Rhinolophus ferrumequinum: one gene and its partner. The protein of the gene in region 2 binds, or shares a complex with, the protein of the main gene of each other region. Links are inferred from orthologs where the notes say so. Each region holds a gene or a part of one and is shown on either strand. Other genes may lie near its edges.

Evidence for each region.
Region 1: TREX1 (region 2) and nucleoside diphosphate kinase A share a complex: the UniProt entries of both Homo sapiens proteins name them as parts of the SET complex. The link is inferred for Rhinolophus ferrumequinum from reciprocal best matches to the Homo sapiens genes TREX1 and NME1.

Annotation. Positions count from the first base shown.
Region 1 is NC_046304.1:32,587,210-32,597,368, forward strand, and holds the start of nucleoside diphosphate kinase A, read right to left. Parts: upstream 4,191-10,159; 5' UTR 4,164-4,190; intron 2,746-4,163; 5' UTR 2,742-2,745; coding exon 2,616-2,741; intron 1-2,615. UniProt on the Homo sapiens protein: Major role in the synthesis of nucleoside triphosphates other than ATP. The ATP gamma phosphate is transferred to the NDP beta phosphate via a ping-pong mechanism, using a phosphorylated active-site intermediate.
Region 2 is NC_046300.1:7,626,037-7,635,739, forward strand, and holds TREX1 (three-prime repair exonuclease 1), read right to left. Parts: upstream 2,997-9,703; 5' UTR 2,857-2,996; intron 2,574-2,856; 5' UTR 2,555-2,573; coding exon 1,610-2,554; 3' UTR 1,576-1,609; downstream 1-1,575. Other genes in the region: SHISA5 (protein shisa-5), read left to right, coding at 1-51, 136-215; ATRIP (ATR-interacting protein), read right to left, coding at 3,583-3,650, 4,053-4,305, 4,515-4,595, 5,040-5,131, 5,268-5,404, 7,931-8,611, 8,803-8,932, 9,263-9,364. UniProt on the Homo sapiens protein: Major cellular 3'-to-5' DNA exonuclease which digests single-stranded DNA (ssDNA) and double-stranded DNA (dsDNA) with mismatched 3' termini. Prevents cell-intrinsic initiation of autoimmunity.

The DNA of each region.
Region 1 (10,159 bases), on a different chromosome or scaffold from region 2:
TTCAGCTTTGTACCAATTTTCCCCCTATTGGTCTTGACGGATCAGAATAAAACCACAGGACATCAGAATCAAATCCAGCCATCTCATTTTAGACAGAAAATCTAACAGTGCAATGAATTTCCATTCCCAGAGCGACACTCAACTAAAATGTTAGAGGGAAGTCAGCGAAGTGGTCTCGGCATTTGGTGAGCGGCAAACTGAACCAGGCCATTTCTCAGCGATACTTCACATGTACTCAGAAGACAAAGGCCCAGGGTTATAACCAGGCGATTCTCACATGTATCTGCAAACCACCCAAAAGTTCATGACACCTAGCAATAAATAACTTTGCTGAAGAATTAATTATAATGTCTCACACTGCATGGCTAGTATGTGGGAACAAATCAAGTTTGCCAGAGAGCCAGCCATCTGCTTAGCAATTCTAACTCCTCTCATCTGTATTCTCTCTCTGCCACTACATGTATGCTTTTTAAGGGTCTACCAATGTCCCTTAGTTTTTTCAGGTCCATAGTACTACACTGTATGAGATATAGTGAACACTGCAGTGATATATAAAAATGTGGAGATTTGCTGTCGAAAAGCACATCTGGAACATCTTAACATTCAGCCCTCACTGATGGTCACTTGCCAAAGTAAAATTACACAGCCATATGATCACTCCATGTTAGCAATTCACGCTCACTGGCCCTTTCAATCCCAATGGAAGACTAATAGCGGTAGTCTGCTAACACACACTGACTTGATCTTCCCTTACCAAAACACTCTTTTATTTCTATTAATTGGCTCTGATTATCTTGAGTCGGCAAAACAGATTCCACGCTTTTTTTTTTTTTTTTTTGAGGGGAGGGTGACCTCAAGTTTTCCCTTGCCTCTCTCCTCCACATCAGATTCAAATAACTTTGTAGGAGCTACCCCTCCTCCCACTTTTCACCAAGCCCATATTCTTGTCAGGAAACTCAGTGGAAAGGAGAAAATGGAAGCATGTAGGAGTCAGGGAGACCTGAATTAAAATCCCTGTTGCATCACTGTGTGTTCTCAGGCACATGACTTGACATCTCCAAGCCTCAGATTCCTCATCACTAACAACCATGAGAATAGGAATAAGCACCTCTCAGGGTTGTCATAAGGGCTAGATGAGAAAACACATGTTCCCAGCACATGGTAAATGCCCCGTCAACAATACTTTCATTTCACCTTACCTTCCAACCTAACATAATATGTAGACTCTCTGGAAAACATTGCTTTGGAAGTTGAGTTGCAATCACTAAGCAGATGGTTTGCTCTCTAGCAAACTGAATTTGTTCCCACATACCACCAAGCAACGTGACAGATTCTAACTCATTCTTCAGAAAACACGTGGCTCTAATCATTCTAACAGGCTCTCTACTCAGCATTATCATCAGTCTACTCCCTTTAATATTAAAGCAGTTTTTCTAAACTGCATCACATAGGAACTAAATTGTAAATCAAACTAAATTTAAGATCCACTAGGAGAGTCCAAAGTTGACTCTTTTTTTTTGTTTTTTTTTAAAGATTTTATTGGGGAAGGGGAACAGGACTTTATTGCAGAACAGTGTGTACTTCCAGGCCTTTTTTCCAAGTCAAGTTGTTGTCCTTTCAGTCTTAGTTGTGGAGGGTGCAGCTCAGCTCCAGGTCCAGTTGCCGTTTCTAGTTACAGGGGGCACAGCCCACCATCCCTTGGGGGAGTCGAACCAGCAACCTTGTGGTTGAGAGGACACGCTCCAACCAACTGAGCCATCCAGGAGCTCAGCGGCAGCTCAGCTCAAGGTGCGGTGTTCAATCTCAGTTGCAGGGGGCGGAGCCCACCATCCCTTACGGGACTCGAGGAGTTGAACCAGCAACCTTGTGGTTGAGAGCCCACTGGCCCATGTGGGAATCGAACCGGCAGCCTTCGGAGTTAGGAGCATGGAGCTCCAGCCGCCTGAGCCACCGGGCCGGCCCCCAAAGTTGACTCTTAATAAGAAAAAAGATGGTCCCCTAATGTATTTGCTTTGAGAATTTGAATTCTCATTTCCCAGGTTTGTTTGAAGAAGAGTTCTTGGCCAATCAATCCTTTGCACTTTTTGAAATATTGCTTTGTAGGTGTCTTTCAAGAGTGTCTACTCTCTCCCATTTCAGGTGGGCCTCCCCAGAGCAAAACCAGTTTCCCCTCACACGCCCTGATAGTGCCAAATACATGCTAGACACTAAGGGGGTAGTAAATGATGATGGAAAGATTTCCGTGGTGAAAACAACTTTCCTCAAAGTGGGGGGGGGAGGGAGTTTTCTAAAGTTATCTGCTCAGGGAGCTCAAGAGCAGAGCTCAAACATGCTCAGAGCTTTGAGTCAGAAATCACAGCACTGCAGTAAATGTGGAACTCTGCTAAAGGAAGCGGGAAGCTATTTCCTAAAGTCCCAAATAACTTGGTTTGTTCCAAGACTCAGCCATGATACTAGGCCACCAAGGAGTTTCCAGGTTTCAAGGCATTTGTGTTCACCCTACATGGAAAAGTCTAAAAAGGATGGTAGGGGAGAAACAGAGAGGCTAACCTACAACGTCCCCTTATACTACGAAAAAATAGAAAAAACGAGTAGTAAGAATGAAGGCCACTAACCTGCATGAATTTCATAGCAACAAGGCGGAATCCCTTCTGTTCAAAACGCTTGATGATCTCTCCCACGAGCTGGCGCTGGACCCCATCGGGCTTGATGGCAATGAATGTGCGCTCAGTGTTGGCCATGGTCCTGGAGATAGACAGGTGGCGGGATGAAACAGCGCTGAACATCCTGCCTACGTCATTATCTTTCTCAAGCAGATTACCCCCATAAATCCGGTTTAAATCTGTCATGTCAGCTCCAAGTCTCTCCAGTAAAAACCCAATTCCTCCCCAGTCTCCTCATGTATGAACTAATATTCCAGAGTGAAGAGGAGTCCAAAAGCAGGGGTTATAATTTCTACCCCATTTGATTTAATAAGCTTCTATCAAGCATCTACCGTATACCCAACACTGTGAAAGAACTAAGGTAAGGGACTTAAAAAAAAACAAAAACAAAAAAAGACGCTATCTTTCTCAATTATCCAGATGAGGAAAACTACACAGATAATGTGAAAGTGACATCTGGTACAAGGCAGTATGAAATGTGGTTTGACCTACTGCCATACATATCATGATATTAGGAGTGGAAGCAATTTTACAGATTATTTTATTACAATCCCCATCATTTTACAAATGAGGAAACAGATCTAGAGCACCAGAATGAGGGCCAAAATCCAGATTTCCCAGCCCTATGCAATTTATGCTACATCGTAAGATGTAATGAATACTCTAACCAATAAACTGTGGATTGTGGGAGAATTAGAGCCATTAGTAATATCTGATATGGGACATTGCGCTGGAAGCCTAGAAAACATCTATTGCAGATCGTTCTTTTTACAGAGATGACTAAGCTAAAGACCTGCTCTGCCACCACAAGATGAGAAAGCAGGAGACCCCTTACCTTGAAAGACAATGCCTAATGTGGGTAGCAGCACTACCCCCTGGCTCTATCTTCCTGTACTTTAATTAACTTATTTCAGCACCTTCACAATATATTTGAATTTTACGTTTGTGTGTCTGTTTCCCCACTGGTCTGCTGCCATTATACAGGGATGTGTCCGTCCCTAGCACCTAGCAGTCAGCAAGAGCAAAGAAAATATCTTTGGTAATCACCCTCCAAGAAAAAGAGACTAGGACTAGTGGAGAACTCCCGCTGGAAGCTCGAGACAAGCATGGATTCACCAGGAGAAAATGGGGCTAAAGAGCCAGAAACAGCCCCTATAAATGTCCCTCCACAGCCACCCTGACACACAGCTGTCATTCATTCTGCAAGCCCATACGGAGCGCCAACTCCGTACCCAGCACTGCACTTGACATATACAAATAAGGCACGACCCCTGTCGTCGCGGCCAGATGGGAAAGGCAGCCACGGACAAAGGCGAGTCCACGTGGCGTGAGACGTGCGCTGACAAGTTTGTACCTGTCGAGTGGCGCTCCCCGGTCCTTCCCTCCCTTTCAATCCCCTTCGCCACCTCTCAGATAGGAACTCATACGATCCCTTCACCTCCCCGCTCCTCTGACCCCACTGCTCTCCCCTTTCCTCGTAGGACCCCGAAATCTTCTCACCCCTCCAGCTGCTTGAGCTACTGCAGTAGTAGCTCTGTCGCCGGCACCGGAAACACTCCCTGGTCCCACGTGGTTCCTGGCACTCGCACGCGCGGAACCCTTCTGCCCAGACCGGCGGCGGAGTTGCAGAACACCCATTCGCCCCGCTTCCTCCTGTGAATCGGGTGTCATTTTAGATGTTGAACTTCCGTTAGTGCTTTTTTTTCTCTTCCGGCGGGCTGCAACCATCTTTTTTTTTTTTTTTTTTTTTTTTGATTCTGTGACTAACCTTCGTTCTGGAACAAATTGGCTTCCCGGGAGGTGGCGCTCACACGTTGCATGAAGTCTGAACGAGCGCCCGATCTAGAGGTAGACAAGTCTCTCTTGCTTTACATTTATGTATTCATTCCAACCTGTCAAGCAATAAATACTGAGTACTTACTGTGTGCCAGGCACTATTCTAGGGCCTGAGGGTATAGCAGTAAACTCTCTTGGAGCTTCTGGTGGGGTTGGGAATGGGGGCAAACTATAAACAAATGTATATGGCATTATGTAAGTGCTGTTAAGAAAAGCAGGGCAGGGAGAAAGATTGAGAGAGTAAACTGTTTTAAAAAGTTGGTTGAAGAAATCTCTGCGAGGAGGTGACAGTACTAGAATAGACATGCGTGAAGTGAGGGAGGAAGTCCAGTGGTTATCTGAGCGCATTATAGTGGGGATCCATTGGTAGAAAATGCCACTGGGGAGGAGGGCCAGATTATGCTGCGATGGGAAGCCATTGCAGAGTTTTGAACAAGGCATGACATAATCTGATACACTTTTCTTTTAATCATTCTGACTGCTGTAGGAGGAATGAGGGGGGGGTAAGGTACAAAGTAGAATCAGGAGCCTTTTCGATAAATGGTGCTGAGCAATTGAACATCTACTGAAAAAGAGAAAAAAAAGAACCTCTGCCTAACCTCCCACTTTAAACAAAAATTTACTCAAAATGGATCATAGATTTAAATGTCAAATGTAAAACTAAGAGTTCTTTCTTTCCTTCCTTCCTCCCACTCTCCCTCCCTCCCTTCTTTGTCTTCTTTCTTTCCTCCTTTCTCTCTCTCTCTCTCTCTCTCTCTCTCTCTCTCTCTCTCTCTCTCTCTCTCTCTCTCTCTCGGAGTTTGTTAATATCAGTTCAATAGAATTATCTACAAAGCTCCTTTTTAGTGGTTGAGGCCCCCTGTACAGTGGTTTTAAAACTTCTATGTACAAACAAGTCACATAAAATACAGATTCTGATTCAGTAGGTCTGGGATGGAGCCTAACAGTTTGATGATTTCAATGCTATTGATTAATAGTCTTCAAGACCTTGAGCCAGGATGATTTAAGCCTTATTAGGTAGGGAAGTAAGGTCTTGCCCAGACAGATGCGAGAGAAGTGGGTTGGGCAGTAGAAAACAGGACAGTCTCATCTCTCTTGGAAGCCATCCTAATTCCATGACTCCACCCTAACCTTCCTTTCCCAACCCTACACACAGCCCTCCAGGCTTCCAAAGGTAAATGTTTCTGCAAAACAAATCAGAGAACAATAAGAATTTAGTACTAAAAGTAATTTTAATGGGCATATGGACCAATCCCCTCTCCAGAAATCCTTGCAAGGGATTTCTGCCTCTGCTTGAAACCTCTAAGAATGGGATATCACTACCTAAAACATCAAATCACTGGCCTTCCACCCACCCCTTGCTAAAAACAAACAAACAAAACTGCTAATCAAATGTATTCACCCCAAAAAAATAATAATAGGAGTAATGTTTAGTGAACTGTGCTAAGATATCAATTATTGTAGAGCAAGGAAGAGTGGTCACTGGGATGCCTGAATAAAGTAGGGGGAAGATTTTATAGAGGAGGTAGCATTTGGATACACAAAAAGAAGAGGTAAATAGATAAGTCTGTAGGTATCAGGGGATCAGGAAAATAGCAAAAGCAAAGGATGGAAAGCAAGCAGGGAAAAGTAGAAAATGAGAAACTGATTAGACTCCTAAAAGAATGCTCTGGACCAGTGGGGAAAAGACCACCAGATTAGTGACAAGCTTTAAATGCTAGTCCATAAAGTTGAGACTTTCAACTATAGTTAATGGAAAGTCATTGAAGTTTGAGGCGTAGGACAGTGACATGAGAAACATTTTGAACTCATTTATTGAAGCCATCTAATTCACTCACTTTACAGAGATACTAACAGACCAAAAGAGATGGCCCAATTTGTTCAAGATTACAGTGGTACATGGGGAGAGCTTTGTTTTAGACGGTGAAGAATTTCATTATAATCTGAAGGATAGATGGGACAGGGAGAGGCTGGAAGCAGAGACCCATTAGGCGGATCAAGGTATGAGGACAGATACCACCTCCTCTGAATTAAAGTGGTCAAAGGAATGTTTATCATAGAATTCCCAGGATAAACTGACAAGATTTGGGAGGTGATTAGATATCATCAAAAAGGGATGGAGAGGAACTGTATCATAACAGCGGTAGTGCTTAAAAGAGCATGGCTCTGTTTTCAGAAAATGGGCGTTGATTCTTGGCTCAGTCACTTATTAGTTATGTGACCTTGGACAAGTTACTCAACATCACAAAGCCTCAGTTTCTATGTTTGCTAAATGGGAGTACTAACAGTCACCAAATCATAAGATTATTGTGAGGATTATATAAAATAATTCAATGAAAATTTAACACAGTGTCAGGCACGTAGTAAATAATAAATGTCAGCTGGGTTTTTTTTTTTATAGCTATGGGTGATAAAATTTTATACCTAAGAAACTGACAATTAACGATATTAACAGAAATAGGAAAGACCAGAGGGAGCCAGCTAGAGAAAGAGGAGTATGGTGTAATGTTGAATCTGATGGAGGGTGATACAAAAGAGAAAATATGCAGTAATCAATTGAAGATACTTCTCTGGGGTTCAGAAGAAATGCTAGGCCTAAGGAGAGACCTATGGGAATTATCTGCATAAAAGTGATCTGTGGGTATAAAAATTATTTTAAAAGCAGTAATTACCATTCATTTGTTATGCAGAAATGAATAATAATATGTTTATTGAAAGATTGTCCTGTGCCACGTACAAAGTGCTTTACTTACAGTAACTTGTTTAATCCATATATCAACTTAATGTGGTAAATACTGTTATCCACATTTTTAGGTGGGGAAACTGAGGCTCATTCAGGGTCAGTAACTTGCCCAAGTTCAGACAGCTGGAAAAGGTAGAACCAGTATATAAAGCCCGTCCGTGCACGGTCAACGTGAGCCTGAGCTCTAAACCACGTGTGTGCTGCTGAACTATGCACAAAGCTTTATTCCTAGGTCTTACTTCCATGGGGAGGATACCTATGGCGCGCGAAGAAATCATAATCTGAGACCATAATTAGAGACAGCTAGCTCTAATACTATACAAAGAATAGAATTGATTCAGGGCATGACTGTCCTCTTATTAATGATTTAAGGAATCAGAGCAACTAATGCATTATGCCCACGTGTGAGAAACAGAAAGACATCTTGGGATGCAGGGCAAAGAAAGAACATTAATAACAGTAATTGGAAATGAGCCCCCAGGGAATCCTCATGGACCATAATCAAGAATGAAGTATGAACCCTCTCACCTTTGACTCCAGAGTCAAACTACAAATCAAACAGCAGGATCATTTGGTGAAGGTAATTGCCTGTTTCACAAAAAAGATACCCAGCTCATCTGTCTGCTTCTGGCTCTAGACTATACATATGGAAACTACCTCCTCAATCTTCTTAGTGAGGCCCTGATCCCTGATGGAAGGCCCGAGAGGGAGTTTTTGGGGAAACCCACATTATTTGCTGACTGGGGAAGGCAGTCCTGAGAGACTCCTCGCATAGTTTGGTGCAACAACCATATGAGGTGGACACTATTCTAATTCCTATTTTAGAATGGGAAACCGAGGCACAGAAAGGTTAAATAACTTACCCAAGGCCACAAAACTAGTTAAGTGGCAGAGCCTGACTGTGAATCCATCTGACTTTTGCTCCAGAGCTTAATGTTTAACTACCATAGACTGTGATGTCCTCAGAGATTTTAGACTTCCCTGGCCCAGTGAGACCTTAAAAATCACATCATTCCAGCCCAAATTACATCAGTCATCTTTTTTCTTCCTATTCAGTGATACTGCCTTCTTTTGACACCCTTATGTTTTCTTGTCTATGAACAATGACACTGATACCGTTGATCTTTTCTCCTTAAACTCTTCAATCCCATTTATGTTTATATTTTCTTACAACCCTCCTCTTGTTTCTACTTTCTAAGTTTAGGTATAATAAAGTCTTCAGCAAAAACATGGGCTCTTTGCCTATAACAGTTTCTCCCTTTGCCGTGACTCTGGTGTAATCTTTCAGGCTAAAACTCTCAAGGGAAAGTGGCTGAAGAGGCTCAATGCTGAGAGCAGGGATTTAGCATTAATCTCCCTCTTGCTTTCATGTGGTTTGACTCTCCAGGACCCCTGCTGGGTGTCTTTGACGTGGGCCCAGTATCTTTTGTCTTCACTGATGATGATTATGATACTAGACTGGTTCAGCAAATTTCTCCTTCCTCCTTTCAGCCTCCCCAGATTGGGGTTGAGTGTCACCTAATATGCAATTTATATAATACTATGATTGTAGTGCCTTTTCTATTAGTTAGGATAGGCTAGGTTGTGCTGCAGACAAAAAAAAAAAAATATTCCCAAGTCTCAATGGCTTGATGTCTTAGTCCATTTTGGTTGCTATAACAACAACAACAACAACAAAACGCACACTAGGTAGCTTATAAATTGTCCACGTAAGAATGCCCAAACCTGTAGAGAATTTTTATAAGAGTTTGACCCCAAACGGATGACAATTGTGAGGAAACAAGATCTCATATGCTCCAGAGAATAACAGTTTTACAGCTTCTTTTATGCATTTGAAATTAAGGAGGGAATGTACATGGAGGTGGGAGAAAGCAAGACAGGGGTTGGATTACAGGATAGCTAACAAGATCATGTGCTCTCTTGAGGATTAATACCTCCTTCAAGGGGTATCACTTCTGGCACTTCAAAGGTGTGTTAACCTAAAGGCACAAGAAGAATGGACAGGGCTGGCTTAAAACCTTTCACTAAAGAAGTTGTAGGCCTGGGGCCTGACTACCCACCATAACCTGCCCAGTTAGGAATTTAGGATCAGATCACCCTGTGAGGTTACTCTCCAAAGAACCCCTTTTTTGTCCACATAAACAACAAACATTGATTTCTCTCTCGTGGTTCTGGAGACTGAGAAGTCCAAGATCATGCTGCTGACAGATTCGGTGCCTGATGAGAATCCCCTTCCTCACTGACAGCAGTCCTCTCACTGTAACCTCACGTGGTGGAAATGGAAAGGGATTTCTCTGAGTTCTTTTTTATCAGGATACCAACGCCATTCATGAGAGCTTCACCCTGTTGACCCAATCACCTCCCAAAGGTCCTACCTCCTAAAGGATTTCAACGTATGAATTTGGGGGGTACATAAACATTCAGTCCATTGCACTGAACAAAACCAAACTTACTCACCCGAAGTCTGCTGAACGGCCAGTACCACTACAGTTAGTTCCCCACCTGCAGTCAATGTGAGAACCTAGTTCTTTCTAACATGTGGCTCTGCCATCCCTACAAAACCTCTGCACACCACAACAGGAGAGAGCTGGAGAGTCATGTGGTATCTCTTAAATGATTGGTTTGGCCTGGAGGAGATGCGTATCACTGCTCCTTTCAACCCATTGACCAGAACTCGTCACATGGCCTTGTAACTCTAAGGGAGCTAGGAAGTATGGAGGAGCAGGTGGCATTCTATGAGCAGGAAATGTCTTTGCTTCTTCTCGTTAATGTATCCTCGCCTGTAATCTTTCTTCCTTTCCCTGTCTAGTCACAGCCCATCCACTTGTACCGTGGACTTTAACCTTCCACCTCTAACCCCACAAATGAGAGTTTAATCTGATTCTTGTTCTTTGGGGTGTTTTACCTCCTGCTAGAT
Region 2 (9,703 bases):
CCTACCCGGCCCAGCCCATGGGCCCGCCTGCCTACCACGAGACATTGTCTGGTGAGTACACTGCCAACTCTGACTCTGCCTAACCCCAAAGACCCTGCTGTACCCACAGCCAACCAGTGTCCTCTCTATTTTCAGGAGGTGCAGCCATGCCCTACTCTGCCAGCCAGCCTCCTTACAACCCAGCCTATATGGACCCCCCGAAGGCCGCCCACTGAGAATGGCCCTGCATCTCTGGCTGCCACTTGATACTCTGTGTGTATGTGCGTGTGATTGGGGATGCGGGCATGGTCTTTTTCTCCCGTGCAGGATGTGTGCGTGTCCTGTTTGTACATAAGGCTTCTGGTGGTGCTGACAGGTGGGACAGTCCGTACCAGTTACTGGGACCATACCTTTTTCTCTTCCTCACTTGAAATTATGCTTCCTTGAAATCTCAAGCAAATTCAAAGCATGAGGTGGGAGTTCTTTTCCAGACCACCCCAGGGAGACCAGGTGGGGCTTGTCACATTAGGATCGCACTGCTTTTTTCTGGGCAAGATACACGCATGTTCTGGTTTCAGCGGGATGGCTGGCCGCTGCTCGAGGCCACAGCTTGTCCCCAGGCTGTGTGCTTCCCTTCGAAGAACCAGAGCTGTGATTCAGGCAAGTGGGTGAGGTTTGGGACCTGTCTAAGTTGGGTTTTGATCCCATAGCCCCTGGAGCCTGTGCCATGGCCAGTGGAGGGTGGGCAGCCTTTTGATATCCAAACACCTAAGGCAGAGCCCCACCCACCCTGACAGCTGTCTGCCTGGACTGTTCCTGCAACTTCCCAGGGACCACCTGGAGGACCACTTCCACCCACGGTTCTGGGTACCCTGGCTGGCCCCGGCCCCCGCCAGCGGTGGGCAGGGTAGCCTCTGTCCACCTACCTACACACTCAGGTGTCCTTCCTGCCGTGTTTTTGTTTTACTTTTAGCCAAACATTTGGCCTGTTTTCTGTTTCAAAATGTGATCGTTTCTATGAGGCTGAAACCCCTGGGTCCCGGCAGAGAGGGACCCCGACCTCTGTAGCCCCTGCTTTCCCCACACCAGCCCCACAGAATATCCAGGTCCTGTACCCCCGGCCACAGTTTGTCCTGGCCGTGGGGACACCTGGGCCAGTGGACTGTCTGGAGCAAAGGGACCAAAGTGGAGGGGGCCTTGGGTGGCTGTGGGCCCGGACATGAATACCTCGGGGTTCCCTGTCCCTGTTTCTGTCTCACCATCTGTCTTAGCTTTGTGCCTGTTGATATGTTTCTGAGAGTCGGGGTCTGCACCCTTGTTTATAATAAACGCGGACATTTGGAACTGCTGCCCCCTTTCTTCAGAGCCTTGGCTGCAGGCATTGGGTAGGAGGCCAGGTACCATTTCCATCCAGCACTTGGATTTCCCTGTTTTCCCTGCTTGTGTTGGGCTCAGACGTCTGACCATCCTGCTGGGGAGGGTGAAGGACAAAGACCGCACCGCCCTCGGTGCCCCCTCCATGGCCCGAGAGCAGGCAGAGGTGCAGGCGGCTGCAAAGCTGCCCAGGAAGGTAGAGGCGAGGGACCACAGTGCTGTCGGGGTCTTTATTCATCAGACGTTCTTTCTCGTCCTATTGCCCAGGTGTGGCCAGGGACAGCCCGTACAGGGTGGCTATTGCCACGCTGAGGAAGGCCAGCAGGCCCAGTGGGGCCAGCAGGCCCTCCCTGGGTGCGGCTTCAGGGCCCTTCGCTGTAGGTAGGACCTTGGGCCTCCTGCTCCCCCCGAGGTTGGGAATGGAGTCTCCGCCTCTGGCCAGAAGGGTAGTGGCTGTGGCAGCAGGTGGCCTTGAGTGGGTTCCAGTAAAGGCTGTGACCCCGTACATTGGCTTGACGGTGCTGAAGGGCCTGGCGTGAGCGTCCACCCACTGCAGCAGGGCGCGCGGCCTCCACTGACAGATGCTGAGCAGGGCTAGGACGTCGCCCTCGGCCGTGTGCGAGTCCAGTGGGACCTGCCCGTACAGGCGTGTGTAGATGCTGCCCAGGCTGTAGCTCCTCCTCGGGCCATGCTCGGGGGTGCTGCCAGTCTGCTCTACGGCCTTCAGGGCGGCGATGCTGTCCACACAGAAGACGTCGTCCAGAGCCCTGGAGAGGCCCAGCATGGCCAACTCCGCCTGCAGCAGGGGGAAGTCGTAGCGGTCACCGTTGTGTGCCACGAGGCACCAGGGCTGTGGCTGGCGCTGCAGGAAGGCGCGGAGCAGGTTGACCAGGTCTGCATTGAAGTGTTGACGCCGGTGCGCTGCCAGCACAGCTGTGCTCAGGCCTGTGATCTCGCTGGCTGCGGGGCTACAGGCCTTCCCTGGGGCCACACAGAGGGAGAGCTTGTCCACCACGCGGGGTGGTGGGGGCACCATGGGAGGAGGCCCCTGAGGGCTGGGAGGGCTCTCCAGGGCACATCTGTGGACAGCCAGCAGGCACAGCTCCGTGATCTTGGGCTGGGAGAAGGGAAGTCCAGTGGCCTCCAGGTCCAAGAAGATGAGGGTCTGCATGGGCCCCTGGGGCAGGGCCTGCGAGGCCATGTGGGTGTCTACTGCTGAGCTGGGGAGGAGCACAGGGTGGGGAGTGGGTGTGAGTGCCCCAGTGGTGAGATTGAAGGAGAGGAGGGGAGGGGCGGGGAGGAGAGGGGAGGCAGGCACTGTCGCGAGCTCCAGGACCCATTTTCAAGGCAGGAAGCCAGAGGGTGGGATGGCTTCTTTAGTACGATCAGCACATTCAACTGTCCGGGGTTTGTTCCCCCCCAGTGCCTGCTGAGTCTGGGGAGAGGCGGGTGGAACCCATGGCCTTCCCACCCTGCCCCAGGCCCTTGGGGGTCCTCACTTACCAAGCGGCAGGCAGGCAAGCAGCAATGACTGGAGTGCACACTGGCTGGTTCTCGCTGCTGGCAGCAGTGGCGGGAAGTGAAACTTAGTCTGAGCCCGCCCACCGGGCTGGAGTGAGCAAGTCCCGCCCTGCTTGTCAGCCTGCCTCGTCCCTCCCCAGCCCCCCTCCACCCGTGACTCCCCAAAGGCCGCCTCAGACGTACAGCTGTGGGCCTGCTGGCTGGCACAGTGCGGCTGGGCCCTCAGCAGCAAGACAGCCAGTCAGGACACCGGCCGCGGTGCCCATGCTGTTGGGGAAGGCCAGCTCCAGGACTCAAGCCTGTCAGGAGCCTCTGCCATGGCCATTTTGCACCCACCCTTTAGCCCCACTTCCCCAGTCCTCCCTGGTTTAGGCCTGGGCTGAGGGCTGCCTCCTTCCTTGTCATACTTTTCTTCCCATGGCCTCTGCCCAAAGCGATGACTCAGGACAATTCCACAGGCAGGGCAGGGCTCCTTCCTCTAGGCAGATTCGTTACCATGGGGACCAGTCTCAGCTCCAGCTAGGACAGGAAGGAGCCCAGCCTTCCCTGAGTCGCGTTTCTGCTCCATCCCTCCCACTCAGCCAACACAGATCAGACTCAGGGAACACAAAGCTGGCAAGATCTTAAACAGCAGTCACTGCTTTTAATCAGTTGACGAGGTGAGGAAAACAATGGTACTGGTGCCACCAGGTGGCTCAATTCACAGCCTCAGCCACAGTCCATTTCTGGGTCATCCACGTCGGTCTCAGTGGCACAGAGGTCATCCAGGGCAGCCTCTGAGCGAGACAGAAGAGGGTTCTGTGGGGAAGGCCTGAAGGTGCTGGAGCTGCGGGAGGTCCCACCTTTCTTCCCCCCACGCCCACGAGAACTAACCAGTCCCTTCCATACCCAGGCCTTGCTCCCTCACCTATGGCAAGCAGTGATACAAAGGCAATTCAAACAGGGATGTTTCTGGAAAAACCGTGGCTCTGCCAGGCCAACTCAACAGATACGAGCAAAAGGCAGCCTGATGTGCTCAGAGAAGAACCGGAGCAGGAAGATAAGAATGACTCCAGTGCTGGCAAAGACCGTGGTGGGTGGAGGCCTGCTGGCAAGGCCTGGAAGTCTGACTCCTTCATGAACTTCAGGAAAGCCCCACAGGTGGGCCAGGGCAGGGAGGGATCCTCCTGCCAGCTCACCTTCACAGTCTGTCACGTCCGGGAGCCCTCGAATCAGCACGCTGACCCCTGGCATCACCTGGTCGTACTGGTGCAGGGCCTCCACGCAGTGCACCGTGAACAGCGTGTCCTTCTGGGACAGGCCGTGCAGCAGCAGGACCGTGTCCCGCAGACACCGCACTGTCCGCCTCTGCTGCTCAGTCCTGGGGGGCCCCCCTTCCCTCCGCACTGTCAGCCACTGTCTATGTAGCATCGCTGTGAGCGCTCTGACCACCTGGGGGTGCAGACTGAGGTCAGGCTTGCAGTTCCTGCACCCTAATGACTTGCTCGGCTGGGCAGTAGCTTCCCCTGTCCCCCAGGTGAGGAGGGCTCTGAGTGGTGGCACCAGGGCTAGAAGCGGCACGGGGCCCTGCACAGGACCGCCTCGCCTCAGCCACCAGCAGAGCTGCCCTGCTGTGCCCCCTGCCTGCCTCGGGCACTCACCTCCACGTTGCACTGGCAGTTGGAGCCGGTGATAGGGGAGGAGGGGCTCTGCACACCGAGCTTAGCCAGGAGCCACACGGCCTAGAACAAGAGCAGACTGTTCCATCCGTGGCAGAACAAGACCCTCACACATCGCAGCGAGGCCTTTCTCAGGCTCCTACAAGAGCTCCAGTGGCCTTAGTAACTGCTGGTCTGCACAAATGGGGTCCTTCCCAGACCAATCTCTGCACCAACACCCGTGTCTCACCAACAACCCACGTGCCTCCAGGCCCATCTGCAGCTACCAGGCTCCAAGGTCAGGGTAGGACCAGTTATCAGGCAACCCTGCCAAGTGCCAAGAAACCCTGGGCTCTACTGTTTTGTAGCTGTGTGGTGTGGAGCCCCCCGAAATGAGTTTACCTTGTTAGTGGCTAGATAAGCTACCAAAATGAATTAAAGCTCCCTCTCTCCAGAGGAAGGAGGGCAAATGGCTCTTAGGGTGAGGGGGTGGGGAACAGTCCACAGAAGGGGCTCTGGCATTTTTACCTCTTGCTCTAGTTGAAGCCACTGTGTGTCCGAGGCCACTTTGTCAGGCCTTGACGTGATGTACGTGTATAACAGCAGGAGGAGACAGCCGTCTGAAAAGAATGCCCAGCTCTCACTCAGGGCCCGGCTTCTCACCCAGAGCCAGCACCAGCTGCAGAAGCCCCCGTCCCTGCTGCCACCCTTCCCTCCACCCTGCAGGAGTCCAGACGCCCGCCCTGCCCACTTTACCTGAGTGGGAGCAGAGCTGAGACGCGAGCTTCTCGTGGTCCACGAGCAGGGACAGGAGCCCCACTGTCAGCAGCACGCTGGGCAGGGGAGCCTCTGGGCTGAGGCACGGCGGCAGCACCGGGAAGACACACTGGAACCTACAACACAGGGGCCCAGAGGGACATGACAATTCCCACCCAGTCCCACATTCACCCTCCCTTTTCACTGGAGGAACAGGAATTCAGGCCAGTACAGAGATGTGGTCCAGATAGACCTGCATTCCAGTGCCAGCCGACGACCACCTACTTTCACGCGAATGAGTGGGTGCTACCCTTCACTGTGGCTTAGAGATAGGCCCTCACCTGGCACAGTAACACCCAGTAAATGGGGGTTGCCTCCTTGGACCCGGGATGTCTGGCCTCCACACTGCTCCTGAGCTTTCCTGCTTCTGCTCCCAAAGAGGGAGGCAGGTCTTGGGTGAGAGAAGTGTCCTGTGCCCACCACCAAAGGACTGGCCAGGCTCCAGAAGTGATAAATGTGGACTCGGTATGGTTGGATCTTATGAGACCACTCGCCAAGAAAGGAAGCCCATTTTCTCCACTTGTACATAAGAACAGCAGCTTCTCTGCCACCAAGTATGAGAAGGTACCCACTTGGAGTGGGCACACTCTCCCCCAAGTCTCAGGGCACAGGGGCAGCTATTACCAAGTCCCAAGACAACCACTGATGTTTGTCCGACCTACACCGCCTCATGGGGGGGCAGGGACAACTCTGCGCATGTCCCCCTTCACCTTCACGCACCTGCAGTGTCTTGGCGCACAGCATCGAGGGTTAAGAATATTCCTCAGGATGCCACTAGGACGCAAGGTCTCACTATTGGGGGTGAACTCATTTTAGAGCAAATTCCTGTATGGCAGACAAGAAGCTGAATGTTTTCCGTCGCCAGGAGAGCGGGACTTGGTGGGAAACTGGAATTCAACCTGGTTGTTATAAGTGGCTCCTAACCAGTCCACTAAAGGCCTTGAAACTATCTGCATGAAGAATCCATCTTCATATACAACACAGAGGTTTCCAAATTGTTTTGATAGCATCAGAGCTTTCTTTTTAGATGAATTTTTTCGCAGCACCCCCCAACGCACAATAGGTAAGTCATGCTGCTCAATAGGTAAGTCATGGTTGAAGTTGGGGATAAGACCCATTTGCCCCAAAGCCCCTGCCATCCTAGTACCTGGGCGACAACCCTGGACCTATGTCTACAAGAGATGCTGTAGGAAGACAGGGGTGAGGCTGCCCTCAGGCCCGGTGGGGCAAGCGTGCCTGTGGAGGCACAGCCTGCCTGCACTGCGTGCTGGCTTAGAGCCTTGGTGGCACTCGTCCCTAGCTTTCACGCCAAGGTGGACAGGAAGCTGTGCGGTAGTGGGGTTCAGCTTGCAAGCGTAAAGGAATTTCGAAGAGAAGCACAAAGTGGGAGGTGGTATCAGACGTGATGAGGGGCCATGGCTCAGGAGCCTCTTTGGTTTGAAACCCATCCAGCGTGCTCCCTCTGGGATCTGAGAACTTTTCCTACCTCAACACAGGGCTTATTCACTCAACAAACACAGTGCTCAGTGAGCCAGGCTCTGTGCTAGTGTGAAGATGCAGGGCTCCGAGGGGTCGCACGAGCTAGTGAATGGAAGGCATGTGTCCGGCCTTGGTGAACACCCACTGAATGGCTGTGTTTTGATGTCCTGTGGACAAGTTGAACAGGAATGGAATGATGGTGTTTCTACCAAGAGAAGTGGTAAAAATGTGGTTCCTGGTATTCATTCATTTAATAAATATGAAATAAGCAACCAGCCACTGAGCTGGGCCCCTGCCAGGCACCCGGGCGATGGTTTGCGCCTACCGTGCTGCCCGCACTCTCTGTGGTACCGGGTCCGGCTCTCATAGACCAGACCAGCTAGAATAGATTCAGATGAAAACCAGGATCTGGGAGTATTTTTAGAAACAGGTATCTGAACTCAGAGGTGAAAAGTTACGGGCAGTCAGCAGAGTCATTTCGAGACAGGAACTGGCCTGTTTGGTGAAGCAGAGGGGGCGGTGGGGTTAGTGGATGAGGCGATGGGCTGCATGGTGTTTAGTTTCTTCCAGTCTTGAGGCTCTGGAACCTCAAGTTTGGAATTTATGACAACAGTGTTCATGAGCTAGGTTCACTGTCCTCCCACTTCCAGGAAACCTTAAGTGGAGCAAGGAACCGGTGGCTCCTGCCAGAGGTGGGCACAATGACAGGCAGATTCCTTGTGCGCTGCACACCCTCCCCACGCCCTCCTTTGAGAACCCCACCAAACTTAAACGTGGCTGTGACACGTGGGCTTCACCTGATCCACGTCCCAGGTTCAAAGGCCTCTTGGTATAGCCTTTGTCTGTCCCGGGGGCAGGACACTCTTCCCTTGTGGCTAACTGCTCTCTTTTCTCTTGTGTGTCTTTTGCTTACCAGCTGTACAGAGGCAGAATTAAGCCAAATAAACCACTTCCTTGGTTCTCACTTCAGAACTCCCTGAACAAAGCTTTACAACCTAAACCAAGGCTTAGCACTGAACAGTATAGGTAAGTCAAGAGACGAGCAAAATACAAGGGCCACAGGATAAACCTCAAGAGGTCGGGTAAGGCCCACACACAATCATGACTCCCATGCTGCAGTATACCTGGGCAAGCAATCATAGGAAGCGTTTTCAGCTAATTTCACCAAAACCTTAAGGCACTGGCTGACGACATTGGCGTGAAGGTGATTTGTTGCTGCAGAAGAGAAAGCCAAGAGGCGAAGAAGCATCTTCAATAGTGGATGCTGGCCTTGGTCACCAGCAAGCCCCCCTGGGGCAGGGCTCGCGTCCCCATGGGAGTCTAGGCTCTGGTTTCCGTCCCCAGCAGCGGAATCCGCTCCGGCTTGTGACAGTAACAGGCAGGTGACTGCTCCGCTGTGGCACACCAGGTGCTGAAGAAGGCTGAGCGAAGCCACGGAGAAGCCTTCCAGCTTGCAAAGTGAGTCCTCGGGGCTGGTATCTACCCCAGAGCTCCTGCGGGAGGAATGTGTCGGTGTGTCCCCAGGCTCCCCACTTCTCTTGGCTACTGCCAAATCCTGCAAAGCCTGGCAGTGTAAGCTGATAAAGAACTGTACCAGGGGGAGGAGGTGCACAGCTCCAGGGAGCTGGCAGAGCGGGAAGGCCCTGCTGCCTCCCTCGGCTGGGTCTCTGTCACATGAGCCTTCATTCCTGGCAATCAGATTCAGTCCAGTAAATGCCAGGTTCTGTGCTTCTCTAAGGGCCGAGAGGGGACATGACCCATCTTGAGAAACTGTGGTCCTCAGGCTTGAAATCCCAGGCAAGGAACTAGCAACAAACACAAAAGAAAACACACAGTGTGAGACGGAGATAAGGTCAAGGGCCCCAAACAACCTGCCTGCCAAACTCTCTAGCTCCCCTGCCCAGCGCACCGGCCTCCCAGGCTGGCCAAGGCCAGAAAGGGACTTGCTTCCTGGAAGCTTCTTTCTGAAAGTTTTTTGAAGGAGTCTTATGCTTACCTGCCCAACCCCAGTGGCTGCAACAGGGTGCTGGGAGGAGCCTCGGAACAACTGCTCAGGAGGTGGCACAGACCTAGGGATGAGCCTGGGATCAGAGGCTGCTTCAGGAGAAGGTTTATCAAAATGGAACCTGCAGAAAACAAGGTGACTCTAGAAGTTCTGACATGGGAGGCCTTTTCTATGGCCTCAGAAGGAAAAAGGGGGGATTCCTTGGATGCCAACTGTCCTCTAAGCTGCCACTACGCCCCACTGAGACAGGCACCTACGGGTGCCGAAGGCTCTGTGACACACCTGCTCTTGGCCCCCTCCATTTTAAAGTCTTCTGCTTAAGTCACAACTACGACTTCCCTGGACCCTCTGACCACTGTCCTCAGAGACCCAGATGGTTCCCCGACTGCAGCATGGCAGAGGCCCACCGGAGCCAGCAGGCTTTCTGCACGAGGAGTGGGGATTCTGGTACCTTGAGTGTTTGATCTTTGCATCCAGCTGTCAACAACATATTTTTGGGACTCTTCTTGCTTTCCGGGGGCACCTCCCAGACTGAGGGCCTTATTCTCTGAAACTAGGTAAAATGTGAATCAAAACCTGAGCACAAAAGCATAGCCATATCAGAAACTCTTAACTGTAACAAGTTTAAGACAGAGATTGTTCTACCTTTTCAACCTTGGATCAAAACAAGAGCCAGAGCAACTCTAGGGCTCTCACATCTTTTGCCTTCCTCATGTAAAGTAGGAACTCACACAAGGAGAGGAAAGGAAAATTAAGCTGTTTGCCCCCCTTCAAAATCAGGCAATAACATAAAAGCAGTAGCCACTAACATTTAGATAGTGCTTATTGTGTTCCAGACAGTGCTAAGAGCTTTACACGTGTTCCTCACTTGTTCCTCACAGCACCCCTACGA